Astyanax mexicanus: one gene and its partner. The protein of the gene in region 1 binds, or shares a complex with, the protein of each later gene. Links are inferred from orthologs where the notes say so. Each region holds a gene or a part of one and is shown on either strand. Other genes may lie near its edges. The genes, in order: pth1r and pth1b.

Evidence for each region.
Region 2: the proteins of pth1r (region 1) and pth1b are in contact, whole or in part, in a cryo-EM structure (PDB 9JR3), measured with the Homo sapiens proteins. The link is inferred for Astyanax mexicanus from reciprocal best matches to the Homo sapiens genes PTH1R and PTH. Residues at the interface, in NP_000307.1 of Homo sapiens: Val31, Met32, Thr33, Lys34, Glu35, Gln37, Ile38, Leu41, Glu111, Trp112, Asp113, His114, Ile115, Ile135, Tyr136, Asp137, Phe138, Arg146, Arg162, Thr163, Ala165, Tyr167, Val171, Leu174, Thr175, Glu177, Glu180, Arg181, Phe184, Leu187; in NP_000306.1 of Homo sapiens: Ser32, Val33, Ser34, Glu35, Ile36, Gln37, Leu38, Met39, His40, Asn41, Leu42, Gly43, Lys44, His45, Leu46, Asn47, Glu50, Arg51, Val52, Glu53, Trp54, Leu55, Arg56, Lys58, Leu59, Asp61, Val62, His63, Asn64, Phe65.

Annotation. Positions count from the first base shown.
Region 1 is NC_064415.1:3,568,800-3,579,939, forward strand, and holds the start of pth1r (parathyroid hormone/parathyroid hormone-related peptide receptor), read left to right. Parts: upstream 1-6,864; 5' UTR 6,865-8,268; coding exon 8,269-8,343; intron 8,344-11,140.
Region 2 is NC_064423.1:35,369,781-35,379,994, reverse strand, and holds pth1b (parathyroid hormone 1b), read left to right. Parts: upstream 1-5,564; 5' UTR 5,565-5,621; coding exon 5,622-5,701; intron 5,702-6,386; coding exon 6,387-6,588; 3' UTR 6,589-7,018; downstream 7,019-10,214. UniProt on the Homo sapiens protein: Parathyroid hormone elevates calcium level by dissolving the salts in bone and preventing their renal excretion. Acts by binding to its receptor, PTH1R, activating G protein-coupled receptor signaling.

The DNA of each region.
Region 1 (11,140 bases):
AATCTCCACAGAATGCTGGAGAATGTTTGCATTAACACTAGGTTTGCAACTAATAATTATTTTGGTAGTCAACTAATCTGATGATTATTTTTCCGATTAGTCGATTAGTCAACGATTATTTCTGCCATCACTAAAAAACGATAGAAACAGCAGAATGTGAGGTTTAAATTGCATTTAAATATCTGGATGTTGTTTAAACATGGAAATTACTGATATTTAGTAATTTAATATGTAATCTGTTGTGTTTTTGCACTTCTGTCTCCAGTTACAAATTAACGATTAGTCGACGATTAAATTTGTAGTCGGCAAATTTTAATAATCGACATTGTCGATTATATCGACTAATCGTTGCAGCCCTAATTAACACTAGCAGAGGCAAGAAATGTAAATTTGCATGGGGATCTCGGTTCCATTCTCTATAATAATGTCTATAGAAATTATTATATTGTCGCTGTCTAGTGAAACACAACTATCTCCACAAAAAAAAAACATCAACTTTACAGTAGAGAGGAAATACCTTCTAAATTTTCAATGGAAGTCAATGTAAAAAAAAATAAATCAGGTAATTTCTATTAATCCGTTCATCAAGAAATTTCTGGCACTGTTTAAATTATGTAGTAAACTAAAAATTGACAAAATGTGACGAAAAATGAGATGTTTTTATTGTTTTTATTGGACAGCGACGAAATATACATAACATCCTGTGCAACAGAGGATCTCTTGCTCTTTCCCGGGGGCGGTCCAGATGAGTGCCAGTTTCATCTTAAAGTTTTTGATGGTCTTTGTGGTGACTGCACTTGAGGATCCTTTGCACTTGCTTCTCATAATCTGGATTAGAACATTATTATTATGCTATAGTGCACTAAAGTGTTCTTGTAGCCACATTATTATTAATCAGTATATTTAAAGAGTGATAAAATGGAACAACTTTTTTTATTATTTATTAAACTTTAATTTTATAAAAATAGTACGAAAGTCTTACTTAAAATGTTAAGTGAACTTAACTGTACTAAAATGGAGCTATTTTAAATATACTTTTAAAAGTAACATTTAAACATTTAACCTACTTCATGTATGTAACCCCATATATTTTAAATATGCTTACAGTAAAACTATAATATATTTAATAATGGGTTTTACAACTGTATCACTATTTATTATACACCAGTTACATTAGAAATGTACTAAGAATTGATGTTAAATATATGTAATCTATTTACATTAGAGTACAAATATGCTTCAAATATGTTCCTGTTTTTTGTAAGAAGCACACTTCTAAATATAAAGTATAAAAATATATTTTAATATACTGTACTACAATTTCTTGTGTGTTACAAATTTACTTATTTTTTTTTTAATTAGTAGTAGTAATTTAATTAGCTTTCTAAAGAAGTTACATGATACATTGTACTTGTAAGTGAACTACTGTAACAGCTGTTTTTAACACACTTTGCTAAAAATGTACAAAAGTATATTTGGAAATAAATATTTGAGAAGTATACTGAATTACATTAAACTAAAAGTGTGTATACTTTTAAACATTTGATGAAAGCTTAATATTAATGTACTTTTAATTTAATATACATTTCATATATTTTAAGTAAGTACATAAATCTGCTTCTCGATATATTTTAAGTATATAATTAAGTTTTATTAAGTTTTTACCAGGGAGCTGATGCTCTCAAACACTTTATTAAGAGGCAAGAAATTCAAGTAATTAACTCTTGATGAGTTCAGCACAGCTGTTAACTGAAAGCCTGAATTCCAGGTGACTCTACCTCCAAACTTCCAGTAGAGGTGCTAGACCTCCTTTGGCTTACTTCCAAAGTTTCAGTTCCTCTGGATGCTAAATTAAGGGCTTTTTAATAGAGAGTTTTTTACCCCTTTGCTGCATAACAGCCTCTACTCATCTGGGAGATCTTCACACTCGAACATTTCTGTCAGGATTTAATTGCATTCAGCCACTAGAGCTTAAGCTGTGTCAGGTTCTGATGGTGGGAGATTAGTTTTGTCACTTCAACTCATTCCCAAGGTATTGGATGGAGCCCCATCAGCCCAATGTCTGAGGGTTTTTTTTACCCCTCTAGCCCGTGCTTTACGCTGGGCGTGGCCACCACAAACTTTTCACCAGAGCTTTAAAGCATCCTGTTCAATTATCCAGGCTAATTGCTAAGTGACAGCAACAGGTATTCCTCAAAACTGCTGAATTGACTGTAGGGTGGAGTCAGATATAATGAGCCAAAAATGTACAATAGTTTTATAATTTTGAGAGTTAGAGTATCATCAGTTCTGATCCCTTCTGATCTACAATACAGTGTTGTCCCCACCCTCAGATCAATCAAAACTATTGCTACAATGCGAAAGTACTTATTGTGATTGGCTTTAAAAATGATGAAAAAAACTATAAAGAACTATAAACCTGTAATCTTATCTGGCCCATTTTATATTATGGTTGATTACAGGGCTCTATTTCAGTGATCTATAGGCGAGCTGTTAATTACACAACATGTAGCTTGATTTGGGTTTGGGATTCAGTGTGTCTTTGCTATCATAACGTCGAGAAAAGTACACCTTTTGGACACGACTCCAAATGCTCAAAAGGCATGTACTAATGCTCTTAATTATTTATGGATGTGTGAAAAAAACAGCATAATCAGAGTGTCACTTGTTCATTAAACCCCCTTTAAGAGTCAGGTAAGCTCTGACTTTGGCGGATTGCTATTTTGACAGTGCAAGAAATGTAAAGACTTAAGAGTTGCTTTAATAAATATTACTCTCAAAAATGTAAAAAAGTATAATTGTTTTATCAGTACGTTCTCTTCTGATCTATAACAAAATGTGCAGGTAAGATGGGCCAGTAAAATTGCTATGTTGTCCTCAGACCAATCAAAACTACTGCTACAATGTAAAAGTACTTATTGTGATTGGCTGTAAAAATGTAAAGAACTATAAACCTATAATCTTATCTGGCCCATTTTACATTTTGGTTGACTACAGGGCCCTATATTAATGATCTATAGGTGAGGTGTTAATTATGCACCATGCAGCTTGACTTGGGTTTGGGAGTCAGTGTTTCTTTGCTATCATAACGTTGAGAAAAGTACACTTTTTGGGCATGACTCGAAACGTTCAAAAGGCATGTACTAATTCTCTTAATTTTGATCATGACGTGAAACTAACTAATCAGTGTGTCTCTTGCTCATCATTCTCTTTAAGAGTCAGGTGAGCTCTGACTTTGGCAGATTGCTATTTTAACGGTGCAGCTACCTGGACGTGTCCAACAAACTCTTCTTAACAGAGGAAAATGAGCTGCTCGAACAGATCTATCTATCTATCTATCTATCTATCTATCTATCTATCTATCTATCTATCTATCTATCTATCTATCTATCTATCTATCTATCTATCTATCGACCTATCTATCTAAAATGTTGCATGTAAACACTGTTCATTATAGTACAAAACAACAGCTATCAGTGAAACTAAAATGAAAATGGAACCACCTGATAAACCATAGAGATCAGTGGTAATCACTTGAGCTGTGCACCACTCTACATGTGGTATTAGCTAATTAACCAAAGCTGATAATTGACTGTTAGAACAGAGATTAATCACACGATTAGGAGCTGAATATATTAGGAAATTATCATTTCTCAGTTTGTAAAGGACAAGATAGTAAACTGAATCCTCAAGTTCATTGTTTTTGACTACAATAGCATGCTCTCCTCAGTGTTGTGCACTATTATAATGTGCACAGTCTTGTTGGTATAGGATGTTTGTGTGTTTATGCATCCTCTCAGTGTTTAACACCACCTCCAGCTCTCAGTAAGATCCTGCAGCTGCTGGAACAGCAGCATTACAGGCTCAGCGTCCGCCTGAAGCTCTCCAAACCCAGGCATGGAGGCCTGAGGATGTGCTGGATTCAGCTTCCTAAACTCTCCTGCATAATAGGAGAAGTTTAGAGTCAACTGTGAACCTTGAGATTTCCCACCACTTTCCCCAAGAAGTAGATTGGTGGCTAACAAGCTCATCCAAAAATGAAAACGCAGAGTTGGCATGCTGGTAATTGGACTCAACCAGAGACTGTAAAAAAGATGGATGCCGTGTGGCCCCATTTCCATTCATTCAATGAAAATGAAGCCAAAATCTTCCGCCATGTTGGCGATCCTGAAACCCGAGTCTGTAGAGCGCAGTAGAGACCAGAGGAGGGAGAAAGACTGTGGAGAGACAGCCTACTCATTTAAATAACCCCGCCCCTGAGGGCTGCCTCCACAGAGCTCACACAGTCTATGGTCCCGCCCATACAGTCATTGGTCCCACCCCTGCTAGGTGTAAACCAGCCCTTTTACACACCAATAACCACACCTTTTTGAACAGAGCTGAAAAACGTTTTAAAATACGAATTCTGTGTAGATATAAAAATGTAACAATATAAGCAGAGGTTACACTAGCTGCTGCATTTAAATAATGGAGGTAGAATTACAGTATATTGGGGAAAAAAACGTGATTGAAAGTTGTTCTGTTTTGCCATTGAAACCTATGGGGATGGGTGGGGTTACGCAGCTTTCTGCAACCGAACAGCAGGGGGCGCCCGACCTGTGGTGGCTTCACTTTTGAGAGACGATGCTCTGTCCAGCTATACACAGTCTATGGACTCAACCAAATTCGCTATGGCCAATAGTCAATCTTTAAGTCCTTCCACTGAACGTTTTTTGGCCCCAAATGCACCCGTGCTAACCGTGCATGCTTAGAACCACTCAGTCCTGGCTAAAGAGTTCACCAGGACCAGCTTCAGTGTGCTAAAAGTTCCAGGTGTAAGACACACCCTTTCCAAAGCTTATGGAGCGTTTAGACACTGTTAAATGTCCAAAATGCTAAAACTCAAACTGAATACATTTTTTTCCAACATAATCAACATCCTCAGAAAATGGTTTCTCTCAGCAGAATTGCAAATTGTTTCTTGTAACCCATAACTAGCGTTCTGTCATCGCTCTCAAAAAGCAAACAGACCCAGCCCGGCGTAACGAGTCCCTGCAGGAGAGTTTTGGCCGCTGGTCGTTTTCCAGCATGTTTGGTCGGTTGTATCATGATGAAACCGGCTGCGATTGACGTCGGAAAACAGATTTGACGGCATCAGATCCGGTCAACACATAAAACTGAACCAACAGACCCAAAAATCTGCACCCGACTTCCAGCGACCCACTGTTGAAACTGGCAGAACATGCAAGTGTAAATGAAATTATTGCACAAATTATTACACATTTGCATGAGCGCTCATTATTTTTTTCAGCTCGGGTATGAATGAAGAGCTGCCGCGATTCGGAGAACCAGGAAAAACAAATATGGCGCGTGGAGAAAAAGTGTGTTAAACTGGTGAAACTGGCCATTAGAAGTGGACCTCAGAGATTTGCACCGCAAGTGAAGATGTGTAGGTAAACACGGCGGCGCTGAATGAGTTATTTCATGAGCGCACGTGAAAAACGCCAGCGTAAATGTGCCCCAGCATTGTATTTACATAATTTTATTGGTTGCGTGGCATGGTGTCGCTGCGCGCTGCTGAGAATGGAGCGTTTTGCCAACATAAAGCCGGTCGGCTCTGAATGGGCAGATTGTGCTGGAGTGTTGTGCTGGTATTGGGTGGAATGGATGGATTTTTTTACTTTTCCCACCTGTTTTCAGGCAGAAACTGTTCAAAATGTCAATTATTTTTCCCAAAGCTAAAGAAATTTACTTTAAGTTTTTTGAAAAATTATCTAATTTAATTATCTAGAATGTACATTCATAAAAAAATTATCAGATAGTATTTTACCTAATAGCAACAATGCAGTTTTAGTTAATAATATTGTATGTTTAAAACCTCTCCTGTTGATTCACATTTAAAATAAATCAAATAAGTAAATAAAAACATTGAAAAAAATATCTCTCATTTCCCATCTTTCCCAAAGCTTAGAAAATTCATAAATTCATTTTAAATTGCTAAATGAAATATATCCATACAGTCATATCTTATAATTTCTTTCTGTATATATACAGTGGAGTGAAAAAGTATTTGGACCCTTACAGATTTCTTATATTTTTGCATTTTTGTTATACTTCATTTTTTTATACTATCAAACAAACTTTTATATCTAACGTTAATAACCTGAGTAAATATAAAAAGCCCTTTTTAAAATTATAATTTTATTTATTAAAGGAAACAAACTATCCAAACCAATTGAGCCCATTGTGAAAAAAGTGTTTAACCCCCTTATAAATTAACTGTGAATTATTACACTTTTTGGAAAGCTTTTTTTTTTTTTTTATTGTTTATTGTGTAATTCCATATGTGTGCCTTAATTGTTTTCATGTCTTTAATATTAATATACATTGTAGAAAATACATTAAATAAAGAAATAAAGAAAAACACTAAATAAGAAGATGTGTCCAGACTTTTGACTGGTTCTGTATTTATGTGATTAAATCTGTAATTATAGTTATAGAACTACAGTGTGTGGTATATATGATCAGTTGAGTTAGAAACAAGGTGATAGGTGGTCATAATATTATAATTATAAGTTTTGAAGCTTTGTTAATATTAGTTTGTTTGGTTTTAATCTGCACTGCATGTTTCTGAAGATGTGAATTGAACAGTCTTTTGGCTGCTCGGGCAGGCCACGCCCAGCTTTTCGACTCTAGCACTTTGATTGGTTAGTAGTGTCCAGGCTGCTGTACTGTGATTGGCTGGAGGGGTCCCACCTCTTGCGCTGACGAGGGTGGTCTAGTAGCCAATCGCTGAGGGGATGGGGGCGTGGCCTGGCGGAAAGCGGGTGGGAAATGGAGAGAGGCAAGGCTGAGCGGAGGAATCCCTGACGCCTCCGGATCCTTCCCCCTGCAGATGCCCAGCCTTCCCCTGGAGGTGGTGCTACAGCCGCCTGGAGCAGCGTGCGTGCGGTGGTGGAGTTGCTGGAGGAGGAGGAGGAGTGGAGCACTTTTTTTTGGGACACTTTTCTTTTTTGAAACGCTGCGGAAAAAAAAAACTTCCAGCGAAAGAAATGACAGACTGTGGAAAGGAGCGCTTGGCTTGTTTTTCTTGGGTTTGCCTTGGGTTCAGCGTGGAACTGTGTCTTGTACGAAAGCTTGGATGAAGTCCTGGGACGTGGGACGTTCTTCTAGCAACCTGAAAAAGCTTGTGAGGGAACTCCTCCGTACGTACGGCGTCTTCGTGCAACGTGGTTTCACCTGGTTTGGGGTTTTTGAAGGAGCGCGAGCGGCGCCGCAGCTCTGGACTTGAGCGATTGACTAATTGAGCGATTGAGCGGTTGACCGGTAAAGTGGATCAAGTGGATCAGTGGATGGAGCAAGTTCTGGACGCTCGTTTTTGGACACGGCTCGTGCTGCTGGCTTTGCGTGGACTGAACGGTGCGTGGAAGAAGTTGGACAGTGGTTCTGTTGGTCCAGTTTGAGCGTGGGTTCACTTTTCTGTACTGCACTTTAGGATCCGGAGGTTCTGTTTGATGTGTGTTGGAAGCGGGACATTGGGGAAATTGGGGGTTTGGAGCGAAACGAGCAGGGACGGGGCTTTGTAGATGATGATCGTGATGATGTGATTCTTCTTATTTGTATTTCTTCTCTCTCTCTTTTTCCCTTTCTCTCTCTTTCATTCATTCATTCATTCATTCACATATATATTAATATTCTCCACGTCTCTCTTTCTGTTTCGCTCTCTCTCTTTTTCTCTCTTTTTCTCCTCTGTAGGAAGGGAGGGAGTGTGGGGGTGCTCTGGTGGGAGGTGGGAGGGTAATTTAAAAGGACCTAAAAATAAAAGCCTGGGTTTTTTTGGCTCCACAAAGAAGATCATTTTGAACTTCCTACCGCAGAAGCTGAAGGACGTAAATAGTTCTGACATGTGGATGTAATTTCAAGGAAGGGGGGAGTAGTGGGTGAGAGAGCGAGAGAGAAAGAGAGTGAGAGAGAGAAAGAGGCACTCTCACACTGAAGAGAAAGAGAGAGAGCAGAGTAGACTGTAGAAGAGTGGCTGAATCAAAGCGCCATCATCCATCTATCCATCCTCCATCTATCTCAAAGCTCTCATCTCATCTCCTTGGTTTCTTCTCGCACGTGGAGGAGGAGGAGCAGTAGTGAAATGCATGGTGAGGGGCTTCTTTGGAGGAGCTGAAGAAGACCTCCACCTTTATCCAAGCCTCGATCAACCAGAGAGATCAACTTCTCCTGTCCTCGTGCTCTTCTCTCCGCGTAAAAGTGAAGTTGTGGAGCGCCCTGAGTGTCCGGATGGGTTCCGCGCTCGTGGGCCACGGCGTGGGCTTCCTGCTCGTCAGCTCGCTGCTCAGCTTCATGTGCACGCTGGTAAGTGTCTTTAAATCTTTATTATCTATGCGCTGATTCCACCACGCATTTCCACGTTTGCATCAGGTTGTGCACGCGAGTTTGTTGGCGCTCGTGCGTAAAAAGCGCGCGGGGATGCATCTGGTCTTTGGGGGTGCTCTGATCAGGATGCTCCGGGTCTCTGCTGTACATTTAAGATCCAGAGAGCTGAACCCAGTGGTCTCGCGCGCTGTACTCAGGTGTACGTTTTTTGGTGTTTTGGTGGCTTTATCTCCTCGTGCGTGAAGCTGAAGCTGGAGATGGTGTGTGGTCCTAATGATGTGGCTGAAGTATCCTGTATTCTACACTAATGCAGCTCCTCTACTATATACTCTACTATACTCTACACTACATTCACTATACTAAACAAACACAACAGATTAACCCTCAGTTAGTGGCTATAAAATTTATAATAAACTTTAGTTTAAGTAAAAACAGAATCTAATCAGACTTTAGCTTGTTTTATAAGTAAATTGAGGTGAAAACCTTTTTTTATATTTCTGGCAGATCATTCAACTAATTTAGCTGAGTATTTTTTTTAATCCAGTAAAAGTATCTGTATTGTTTCTTAAAATAAGTATTTTTCATTTAAAATCAAATAATTAAGCATGATTATTTCTCAAAACAATGTTCTTGATAGTTGTTTCCTGGAACATCTGTCAAGAACATTGTTTTGAAAAATGGTCATATTGATTTAAAATTAAAAACACTTATTTCAAGAATCAATACAGAAACAATACAGAGAATTTTTCAGAAATTATCTATTTCTGTTGGCATTCTAGAAATATTTCTGCAATATTTCTTAAAATATGAAAATTATAGCATTTCTTGAAAACTGTTGGTGTCATTTCTTAACACAAAAAATAAACTAATAAACCATATAATTCCTTAAATCTGTACATTTGTATGTGCTAAATCCTAAAAAGAGTAAATATATCTGCACTATTTCTTGAACCATATAAAATGTTTTAAATAATAATGCAAAATGAGAAATAAAAAATTAAGATTTTTTTATTTTATTTCTTAAGAAAATGTTGTTTAATTTCTTGAAACAAACAAAAACTTCAATCTAATTTCTTAAATCTGTAATTCTTTTTGTTCTAGTTCCTAAAATTAGTAAATTTATCTGCGCTATTTTATGAAACATATTATAACAAATAATCTGTTAACATTTAACATGTTTTGTGTGATTTTTAATCAACACCAAATGATCTGCATTATTTCTAACCTACTTTTGTAATGTTTTAAAACAAGTTTAGTAACCTGTGTAATTTCATTACAAGCTTATTTAATGAAATATTGACAATGGTGTTCACTTTGTGTAACTTAGTCATCTACATTACTTCCTAAAATACGCAACATTTATCATGCAAATTCCTGTAAAATGCAGGAATCATAATAAAAATATATATTTGTGAATTATCTGTATTATTTCTTAAAGCTAGTAGATTTGTCCTTATTGGCTCTTAAAATGTTTATACATTTATTTGCATTATATGTTAAACATACAAAGTGAGCTTCATTACCTGTAGAAAAATACAGTTTTGAACAATTTTTGGAAAAACAAACTATCACCATTACTATGTGAAATGCAAAGATTTTCAGTGTAATTATATTTAAACATACAAAAATGTATTTGCTCCATCTAAAATTTCTAAAATTTCCATTTTTTTAATGCAAAAAACGAAATGAACTGATAAAAGTCTCATTTTGTGAAGCGTGCACAATTACAGTCATTATTTAGTGAAATTTGTGAATTGAGTCTGCTAATCGAATAAAGCTATTTTTCTGAATAGAAATAGAAATGTAGAGAAATAGAGAGATTAGATTGTGTAAATCAACTAAATTTGAATTGATTTCACGTGCTGGGAGATTTTTTTTATGCAGTCTATGAATAAAAAACTCTATTTGTGAGAATTTGAGGGCATGTTTACTGATCAGAATTGTATCCTGAGGTTTAGCTTAATTTCTACTGGCTATTTTTCCACTTTTCTGCATCAATACATTAAACCCGTATTTACATTTTTGATATTTGTTCATATTGTGTTAATTTTTGATACGGTGTGTGATGTCATTAGAATGTATATTGTGGATGTATATCAGTGTTTATAAAGGATACATTTGATGTACATTTGCTGTAATTGCTGTGTTTAACTAGGTTTAGTATGTATAAAATTAATCTGTACTATGCGTGCGATAGAATTCAAATTTTTTTCTGATATTTTAGCATACATTTTTATTTTTGTTGATATCAGATTTATTGTTTCAGCTCCACTAATGTTATGCTTGAAGCACTCAGAGTGGTCCAGCGGTCTAAAGCTCTGCCACTATGATCTAAAGATTGCCGGTTCGAATCCCGGTCATGCAGCTTGTCAACAGCTGCTAGAGCCCCAAGAGTGCACAGTTATTGGTTTTGCTCTCTCTGGGTGGGTAGATGGCACCCCTCATCACTCCTAGGGTGATGTGGATCAGCACAAAGCTGCGTCTGTGAGCTGATGTATCAGAACCGAGTCACTGCGCTTTTCCCTGAGCATTAGCGTTAAGTTTCTAAAATTAGTACATTTATCTGCACTATTTTGTGAAACTTATTAAATAATCTGTTTTAAAATCTAACATTTTTGTGGGAATTTTAAACAAAGCAAAATGATCTGCATTATTTCTTAAACAAGTATATAAATATATACAATCTGTGTAATGCTTTGAAACAAGCTAAAAGCATTATTTCATGAAATTCTAGCATTGTTTGTAGAAATGTTGAAAACAGTGTTCACATTGTGTT
Region 2 (10,214 bases), on another chromosome or scaffold:
TCATCCCTAATTAACAAACTCATTCTTAACTCCCTAACTTATTCCTAACTCATCTGTAACTCATCCCTAACTTACCAACTTAAAATCATCCCCAAATCACTCCTAAATGCTTAACTAATCGAAAACTCATCCCCAAATTCTTAACTAATGCCCAACTCATATTCAGTTCCCTTATTCTTTCACAACTCATATGCAGCTCACCAACTCATCCACAACACATCTCCACCTCCCTATCCCAGCTCCCTTATATTTCCCAAACTACCTAACTCACCCCCAGCTTCCAAACTCATCCACAACTCATCCCCACCTCCCTCACTCATACTCAGCTCCCTAATTCCCTAACTCATCCCTAGCTCCTCAACTCATTCCTAACTCTGCAACTAATCCACAACTGTTCTACTCTTCCCTAACTCCCCAACACATCCCCACCTCCCTAACCGATACCCAACTCCCCAACTCATCCACAACTCATCCCCACCTCCCTAACTCATCTAACACTCATCCCTAAATTTCTAACTCATCTCCAACTTTGCAACGTATCCCTAGCTCCCCAACTCATCCCCAATTTCCTAACTCATACCCAGCTCCCCAACTCATCCACAACTCATCCCCAGCTCCTCAACACATCCACAATTTCCTCACTTATACCTAGCTCCTCAACTCATTCACAACTTATTCCTAGCTTCCTAATTCATCCACAACTGATCCCTAGCTTCCTTATTAATCCCTAACTTATCCACCACTCCCCACCTCATCCCTGACCCCAATGCTATTCAGTGAACAGTTCTTCTCTACAGGGGATATATAAGTTGTGTGTGTGTGCATTTGGACAAGTCTGTCAACAATAGGTACAACTTAAAACAGCTGAATTCATACATTAAAAGGCGTGTCCGTAAACAGCTGAAAAATACTGTTGCCCTGACTGTAGGTTTACATGCAGCACTGACTCAGATTTATACTTTCAGGCCTTTAGGGAGCTGCAGTACAATCTGTTTAATCTCCACTCATGCAATATTAATGCATCGCAGAGAACTGCTGAAGTGTGTGGGAGGCTGATTCTCACATGTGCATTCTTTAAATTCCTGCACATAAAAATAGTTCTTTTGCTGATATTAAAAGCACACACTTGCTTATTCAAAAGAAGAAGTTATAAATAGACTAATTTTCTATATTTCTGCTTCATCGTTATATAATTAGAGGGAGACCTGTGTGGTTTTAATGCAGCGTAGCTAGCATTGCAGCACGGTGGGTTGACCCCCAGTTAATGGTTTGTAAGCAATTCTTCACCTTAATCCCTGCCAAGTGCCTGTGCACACTGCTGCAGCGACATGCCATTAGTGGGATGACAGGCATTGTACCCTCATGAGGTAATGAGAACAGCTCTGGCCGGGTCGACTCCACGTGTGCCGCAGGCCGCGATGCACAGTGCAGTTCTCTGTTGCAAGGACAGCTTTGGGCACGAGGACGGAGCTGTTTACATGTGAAATCTGAATTCCATATTAAAGCTCCAGAGTTCAGTAGCAGGGCAAAGGGTAAATGCTTCATTCCTCATTTTAAAAGAAAGCTAAAGTAAGATTTATTATCCTGTGAAATGTCCTGCCTTGGCAATGAAATAATCTTAAAACATTCTTACAATACATTACGAAATTGTAAATATTTAAGATTATTCAACACATTTCCAGACATTTATTAAATAAATAAAAAACTTGTTTTAAGCAGAGTAAGCTCTTTAATAAAATGACTCAAAATAAATATAAAATACATGTACAATAAAAAAGGCATTAAAAAACACATATAAACTACAAAAGTGCATTTCATAAAGGATATGTAGCTTAATAGAGTTCCACCATTGAAAGTAATTGTAAAAAAAGCAGCTATGGTGGTTGTTGTAAAGTGGTTGGATTGGTATCTCATGTGGTTCGTTGGCTGTTACTTGTGTATTTCTTGTGTACATCATGGTTACTTGGTGATTTAGGATTTTAATAGAATATTGGCTATTTTAATTTGCTAAAACTCAGCATTATGAGACTCGGATCAGATTGCGGTGCAAAATAACCACGTTTTGCATGTCCACGTGTCTTTGCTATCCTATTTTATCATGGGTGTGTTTTGGGTATAATGTGAAATAAACCAATCAGCCGTTCCCTTTATAGGAGAATTCTGAAACTCCGTAGTGTAAACTAATCTTCAGGTGCCGCCATCTTAAAGTAAAGGTAAACAGTCTTTTTTTAATAAGCTTCTTGTGCAGTTTTAAAGTTATTAATGCCTTGTTTTAAATGTCAGGGCTCTCCAGATCTACTAACAAGGTGTGGAGCTACTTTGAGCTGGATAACGGCGTAAAAAGTGATTTATCTGCAGGGGCAAAACATGCCCCATCTAACTCATTCTAAAGCATGTTTGGACAAACTGTAAAAAATTACTGGATCTCAGAAAGCTGCAGGAGAGCAGAGGTGGGCTATTCTACAAAGGTTAGTACTCTTTATCATATTTTACTACATTAAAAGTAAATTTTACACAGGAGTTCTTCTTTAAGAGTCAGGTATGCTCTGACTTTGGCAGATTTCTATTTCAACGGCGCAGCGTTTCTGTGCTTCTCAGCAGAGAATACTGACCTGGTAGTTCACGCTGTTAAGGTGTGCAAGCAGGTCACTTACTGGAACAGCAATGTTTTTATATTTAGTTTTCTGTTTATTGTTGATGTAAATGTCGGGTTTGTGCACTACTGCATGTCCATGTGTGTGTGTAACAAGCGTTGACAAGATAGCAATAAACCTCTGACTGTTGACATCTGTCTAGGTTAATTTCAGTCAGTGGAGCACCTTATAGCAGCAATATGCTAGAACTATGCTATGACCTGAACACACCTCATTTTGAAACTGCTTCACCCAACAGCGTAGATATATTCAGAAGCACCGCTGCTATTTAAATTATGCAGACACAAGTAGGCCTGTCACAATATTTACACTATCGACTTATCGTTCAATAAAAGTCTATTGTGTTTGCACTTACAAATTGCATTTACATATATTGTGACTGTGGCACAGACTGAAGCACAGGGAGACACAGACACAGGAAGTGAATGAACTCAAAACGTACCTTAATTAGGAAAAATGCCCTCCATCAACACCCAAAACAAACTTAAAGGAACATAGTCATGGCCCAGTGCAGCTCTAGTAGCTGAACTTTAGTGTCACTTAGGTTTGTGTTGCCTCAGAAAGGTTATTTATGCTGGTCCAATGCGGGCCAGCTGGGACAGACTGGGGCTGCACGTCACAGTTCAGACACAAGGCATGAAAATAGACTGTTGGCGTGGTGAAACATAGGGCCGTATATGCAGATATTGCAAAAAACCCTAGACAATATTTATCACTGGATATTCCAAGATCATCAAATAATATCCTACTATACTTCTACTTAGTACATTTATTTTTTTATATTTTATTTTTGGCAATTAAATGCATCTTCAAATCAATCCACAGTGTACAACCTTCAAAACGGGATAGCTGTATGTGGTTCGTACTGCTTGTTAAAAGCATAACAGAAAACTATGACCCAAACCATTGCACGGTATATTATATAAACATAATATAACATATTATATAACATAATACACACATCTGATTCTAAGTGTGATATCCAGTATCAGTTAAAGGCCCAGAGCTTGTGTCTTTACTCAGCTATTGTACTCTCATTTTTAGACTTATGACTCAAAATGAACTAAACAAATAATAAAAATAAAAAACATTCAAGCACCACAACGTCATGCTGACCACACATGAGCTAAGCTGCTATTATTACAGCAGGCGAAGGCATCCACAGACACCTACCACAATGCTTCTGCATGACACGCATCACACAAATCAACCTTTGGCCTTTGAGAAAGAGATCCTGAGCATTGTCTGAACGATTCCTGCCTATGCGCTATGCCGTGCCGTCCGTGTGGGCGGAGTCCGCTCGACCTCAATATATAAACTCTCCTTCGCTGATTTAGGAGATCCCTGTTCGAAAAATTAATGGGCAGAAAGGGAACATGCAGTATTGTGAAACGGGAGCCCGGCGGCCCCGCGGCCCGGCCTCCCGACCCGAGCTCAGAGACTTTCATTACTACAGGAGAGATTTGTTGCGCTGCACATCGTTTCGAATTCTTTCTGGGACTTACTACTTGTGTCATGACATAGTCATTCCTCAGCCACATTTAGAAAACTTCTCTCATGGTTACTCAATGTGTCCCTTGTGAGTATGACAAGGTTGTCCACTTCTCATAGCTCACCATAGATCATGCAAAGCACCAGGTAAGGCCTTGTTTTGGCCAGCCGAGGCATTGTGCAAAGAGCAGGAGACGATTTTCTCCATTTGACCTGGATAACTGAGCCTTTACAAATAACGAATAGCCATATACTAAACATTTCTGCCTTTTGGAGGAAATCTGTTATTTTCTTTTATATTGTAAATTATTTATTGATTTTTATTATATGTGCCTTAATGAATTAGGAAATGTACACCTAAATTAAGCACATTTTAGCCTTAAAAAAATATTTTATTTTTTTTTTTTTTAATTTCTGATGAATTTCTGTTTTCTCACAAAAATAATTGGAAAGAAATTCCTAAAATGAAATAAATGATTGCTACATGATTATTGGCTGGAGTAAATTAGTTAAAGTTACAGTAAACAAACAGAAAACAGTTCTTAAAGTGTGGTTATCTATATATATATATATTATATTGTGAATTTATGCATTTTTTAGATAAATAGTAAAGCTTCTAGTAATTATAGTAATATATTTTCTAAATAAATGTTTTCTAAATAAATAATGTCTACATTATGTAGAATTGAAGAATACAAGAGGATCAAATGGAATTGGGCTTCCCTTACTGAGTATTATTATTATTTTTATTGATTTTATACTGCCATGGAATAAAAAAAAACAAATGTATCAAATTTAGCTGGAAATCACAAAATAAATGAAATAAACTACAGATTTTTTGTGTTTCAGTTTTTGGCCACTTTCTGTCATTTGAAATGTACTTTTCTTATCCTAAAGCTCCTAAAAAGTTGCAATAAAAGAAAAAAAAGCTTCACTTGAGTTTCAACTTTAATTTCTCACAGGTAATAATTCAGATCATCCCGCTGGTGGTTTCTCAGAGACGCTCTTCAGGCTTCCAGTAAATGAGACTTCGCACAGCCGTCCGTACATGACATAAGCTCACCAACGCTCTGATCACAAGAAATCAGGGCAGAGGTGTTGAAAACAGAAGTGGTGGGTGGTGGTGGGGTCAGTGGAGGTGTCGCCATCTACATGCCTGTCCTCATCAAAGCACAGGGTGACATCACCATCAAATATCGGGATCGCTCATCAATGGCAGAGGGGAGGGCACTCAGGCATAAAAAGACAGGGACAGTGACCACCAGCACGAACACACCGCTGACCAACACATGGAGTGGCCCTGTAAATTACACCTACAAACTATAAACCACAGCTGTGTAAGTTTTTTTAAACATTTTTTTTATTTCAATTTACAAATGTTTTCTGGAAATTGAAATTTGGACATTTCAAAATGTTCTGCCACTATTGTTTAATAATCTTTATATTCTTTGTTTTACAGCTGATAAAATATCTTCTATGAGCGCCATGCACAAAATGGTTTTACTGGTTTTACTGTGGAGCTTATGTTTGCTTCATTTGGAGGGATCACCAATCAGGTGAGGGCCGAATATGATTCACAATACAATTACATTTAGTTTAACAGTAAATGTAATACACTTAAATTACTAAAAATATAAGAATCTTTGTAATTTTGCAACGTTACTAGTATAATCTTGTATATTTACATTGTACTAAAAATAATGTTATTGTACAATAGAAATGTATTAAATTGGTCAGAAATTGATTGAAATTAACAGTACAGCATTGTAATTATTTTACTGTATTTTATAAGACCTAAAAAATATGAGTAATAACTCTAAAAAAACAAGATCATAATCTAATATATCTACAATAAAATCATTAGTATGTTTATAGTTTAAGACTGCAGTACAATCTTTTACTTGTAACTAAAGTAATATTTTTCTTAAAATTATGTTAAATGACAGTAAAAAAAACTGTCTACAATACTTTGAAACTATTAAAAATATATTAAATAACCTAAGCTACATACAAAAATGTAGTAACTGCAGTAGTAACTGTATACAATATTGTTTAGTTTTCATGCTGCAAGAGTAAAACTGCAAAATACAGTAATATGCTGTAATTTATGAACAAAGAATGCCATATAAAGCATTATAGTGATTGTTAACAGAGTGTATATACCATATATATATATATATATATATATATATTGCTTGTTACTGGTGACAGTAAAAGTGACCACTGCTAATCTGTCCACAGCAAAAGGTCCATCAGTGAAGTCCAGCTCATGCACAATGTTGGAGAACGCAAACAGGTGCTGGAGAGACAGGACTGGCTTCAGGTGAAGCTGAAGTCGATCCTTATCCCCTCCGTCAACGACTCACAGAAAGGACAAAAGGCAAAAATCAGGACTATTGTTACAGATATTTCACTGTCTGGGAAAATCCAGTCTGGATCGTGAGCGAACCCTGAGGCCTCGTCTTCGAGTTCGGTCTTTTGTATGAGACAAAATGAACTTTTAAAGAAAAGAAAGTGTTTTCACTCTAAATGTTTAGTGTCCTCACAGAGATATAGCCCCTGCCCTGTTTCTGTGCAGGCATAAAACTACGGCTCCTTTGCAGAAGTGCACTGAATCACAATTGTTTTTATTTATTTTCATACTTTAATTTATTATTTTAATTTATTTGACTTTCTGACTGTTTGATATATAAATGAATCTGTGTAGAATTATTTGTTAAAATGAACTGGTTAAAAGTTAAAACCAGTTAGGACATGTGAAGGACACGGCTACAGCTACGGCTACGGCTTGTGTTTGTGTGGGTGAATAGAAGTTTACATAACAGTCTCAGTTTGTGTTGCAGCACTGTTATATAGCCTAATTCAGGTGAAAAGTAAGGTTGTTAAAATTCTTATTTATTTATTTATTTATTTATTTTTTATATTCAACAATTAAAGAAAGAATGAAAACAAAATAACCAAACAATATGCTCTGGTTATTTACATGAGATACTGTATGGCAAGGACCCCACTGTGACGAATGTGAAATACCACAATACTGAGAAACAAGGTCCACAACATGAACAACACGGTGCTGTTTTTAAAAAATATATATAAAATAACAGTAAAATAAAGAAAGATTATGTTTACATAAAATATAAAGTGCCAGACATTTCTGGCTGTTGGTTGTTGTACATTTCACTTTCTACAAAATGTATTTACATTTATTTTTAATTTTTATTTTTTCAGCCTAATTCTGACAAAAAATAAAAAAGAGCCAGGCTTCTGGTCAGTGTGTCAAAGTTTGCCAGTTCAGTTTTCCAACTGTCAGAAACTAAAGGCAAAAATAGAAAATTAAGTATAAAATGTCATTAAATCATAGCTTTTATAGTTTGTTTTTTTTTATTTTCCCAATTTGTTAGTTTTTCATACAGTGTTCACCCTTACAATCTGAAATACTGGAACATAGAAAATATGGTTATCTTTTAAAATATGGGTATAAAATATGGGTATCTTTTTTGGCATCTTTCAACACAAAGGTAGGTTGAGTTAAGGTTAAGCTTGGAGGAGAAAATCTGAGATTTATATGAGGGGAAGAGGAAAAAAATTATAATTGGGAAAATGCTATACATATTTTACTGTAGGGAAACCCAGCTAACAGCCTGTAACAGAAATAATGTTCCAGGAACATTCTGAAAACATGGGACATGATGGTTAATGGTTTGCATCACGTTAGATAGTTTCACACATAACATTCCCAAATAGAACTTAACATTATAGAAACGTTAAAAGCTTAAAACATTCCCAAAATTAAAAAACTTAAATGTAGCATGTAACAGAAAAAAAGAAAACATCAGCCACCTGCGCACATATGTTGTAGTCATGTTCTAATCTGGCAGAGTTGTGGAAGAGCATCTTTAGGTCTGATAGTGACTATATCTACATCCACTTCTGGCCTTATTTGGAATAAAACCTGACATTGTATTTCTTACTAAAGACAAAGATTATGATGTTGGCTTCTCCTCCATATAAGCGAGATGCTTAATTCTTTTAAATTGGAAAGTGTCAGCCCCACCCACACATAACAACTAGATTAAGGAAGTAATTGCTTTATATTAAACTAAAAAGATATTCAACTAAATAAATCTGTTTGGAGTCTGTTAAAACTGAAATATTTCTGGAAAATATATTTCATACAGTAAACTGGCCCAGAATAGTATTTTGGCTAAAGGCTTTTTTTGGAATTTTTTGCATTTGATGTAGAAGCGTAAATAAAAAAAACATTTTGGTGCTGATTATTATAATCAAGATATATATATATATATATATATATATATATATATATATATATATATATATACATATATATACATATATATATATATATATATATATATATATATATATATATATATATATATATATATATATACAGCTCTGGAAAAAAGGAGACCAGCTTATAAATCAGTTTCTCTGATTTTACTATTTATAGGTATAATGTTTGTTTTATTCTATAAACTACCAACAACATTTCTCCCAAATTCCAAATAAAAATATTGTCATTTAGAGCATTTATTTGCAGAAAATGAAAAATGGCTGACATAACAAAAAAGATGCAGAGCTTTCAGACATCAAATAATGCAAAGAAAACAAGTTCATATTCATAGAGTTATAAAAGTTCAGAAATCAATATTTGGTGGAATAGCCCTGTTTTTTAATAAGAGTTTTAATGCATCTTGGCATGTTCTCCTCCACCAGTCTTACACACTGCTTCTGGATAACTTTATGCCTTTACTCCAGGTGCAAAAATGCAAGCAGTTCAGCTTGGTTTGATGGCTTGTAATCATGCCTAGACTTTAGAATCTATAATCATTGTTGTTACAGCCAAAATGTAATGTATTAGTTAGAAAAAATCATTGTTTAGTGACAAAAAATATAATACAAAGGAAGTTTTAAGCGCATAATTCTAGACTTCAGAACCTCTACAAGCTCCCTCACAGAAAGTGCTATTACACCAAATAGTTATGAATACACTGCCTGATATCTGAGACACTGATTTATCATAGTTTTGCGAAGATTTTGGGTCTAAAACCTGTAACATATAATGTATAATTAAAATTCATGCAGAATAAAAGCTTCCCAAATATGAGGTATTTGTTCAGGCTCGTCCACATGTATCCTAATATGTTTAAAAACAGTAGGTTAAAGTCAACACAAAGTAAACAAAAAGTAAACACAAGTTTTACTGATTAAAGGAGCTTACTTTACTGTGAGGACAGTCAGACTGGGTTCTTCAGTTGAGTCCTGCACTCATGAAAGTCCTGTGGGATTTAAAGTCTAGTTTCAGAAGTGTTTACATGTGTAAACTATTGTGCTGTAAATAAGAAAATATCCAGGTAACTTTACCTGGCTGAATGTAGCAGAAATAGCATTTTAGCTAGTTGTAGTCAGTTAAAAATGTCACTCCTGCCTCAGCTCGTCTGGAGGCGTTATTTCTTCATTTTACTTCAATTTCTCCTGTTTTATGGCTTTAACCTCCAAACATCATAAAAGCAAGCTTGTTCCTAGTACTTCTACTGCACGCTCACAGTAACTACTTAAACACGGCGCTTTAGTGATGCTAAGCATGGTAAACACAAGTGACTGTCAATAAAGGGTCAGCCCCACCCACGCATAACAAATACAGTAGATTTAGGAATCAATGGCTTATATTCATCTGGAAAAGATAAAGAACAGCATAACGAGTTTAAAAATATATATATTGTGGCGGCTCTGGGTTGTGTGTGTGGCTGCCTGCAGGCATGTTTCTGGTGGGGCATCTCCCTTGGGAGGGGTTATGCAGAGAGGGTGGGCACCACTCTGAATCTGCCATCTGGGACACACAGCTGGGTTGGTGGCCTTTGGGCTATTTGAGCTCTGTGTTTATGGTTTTAGCTCTCCTAGTCTTGTTGAAGACTGTAAGTGAGTGGCAAGCCTGTTCAATAAAGGAGTTGTTGAGCATTCGGCACGAGTATCACGGGTCTTCCTTCCTCTTCCACGCCACAATATTTTTGACACCTGGTTACTTTTCATAACCAATTTTAAGAGTTT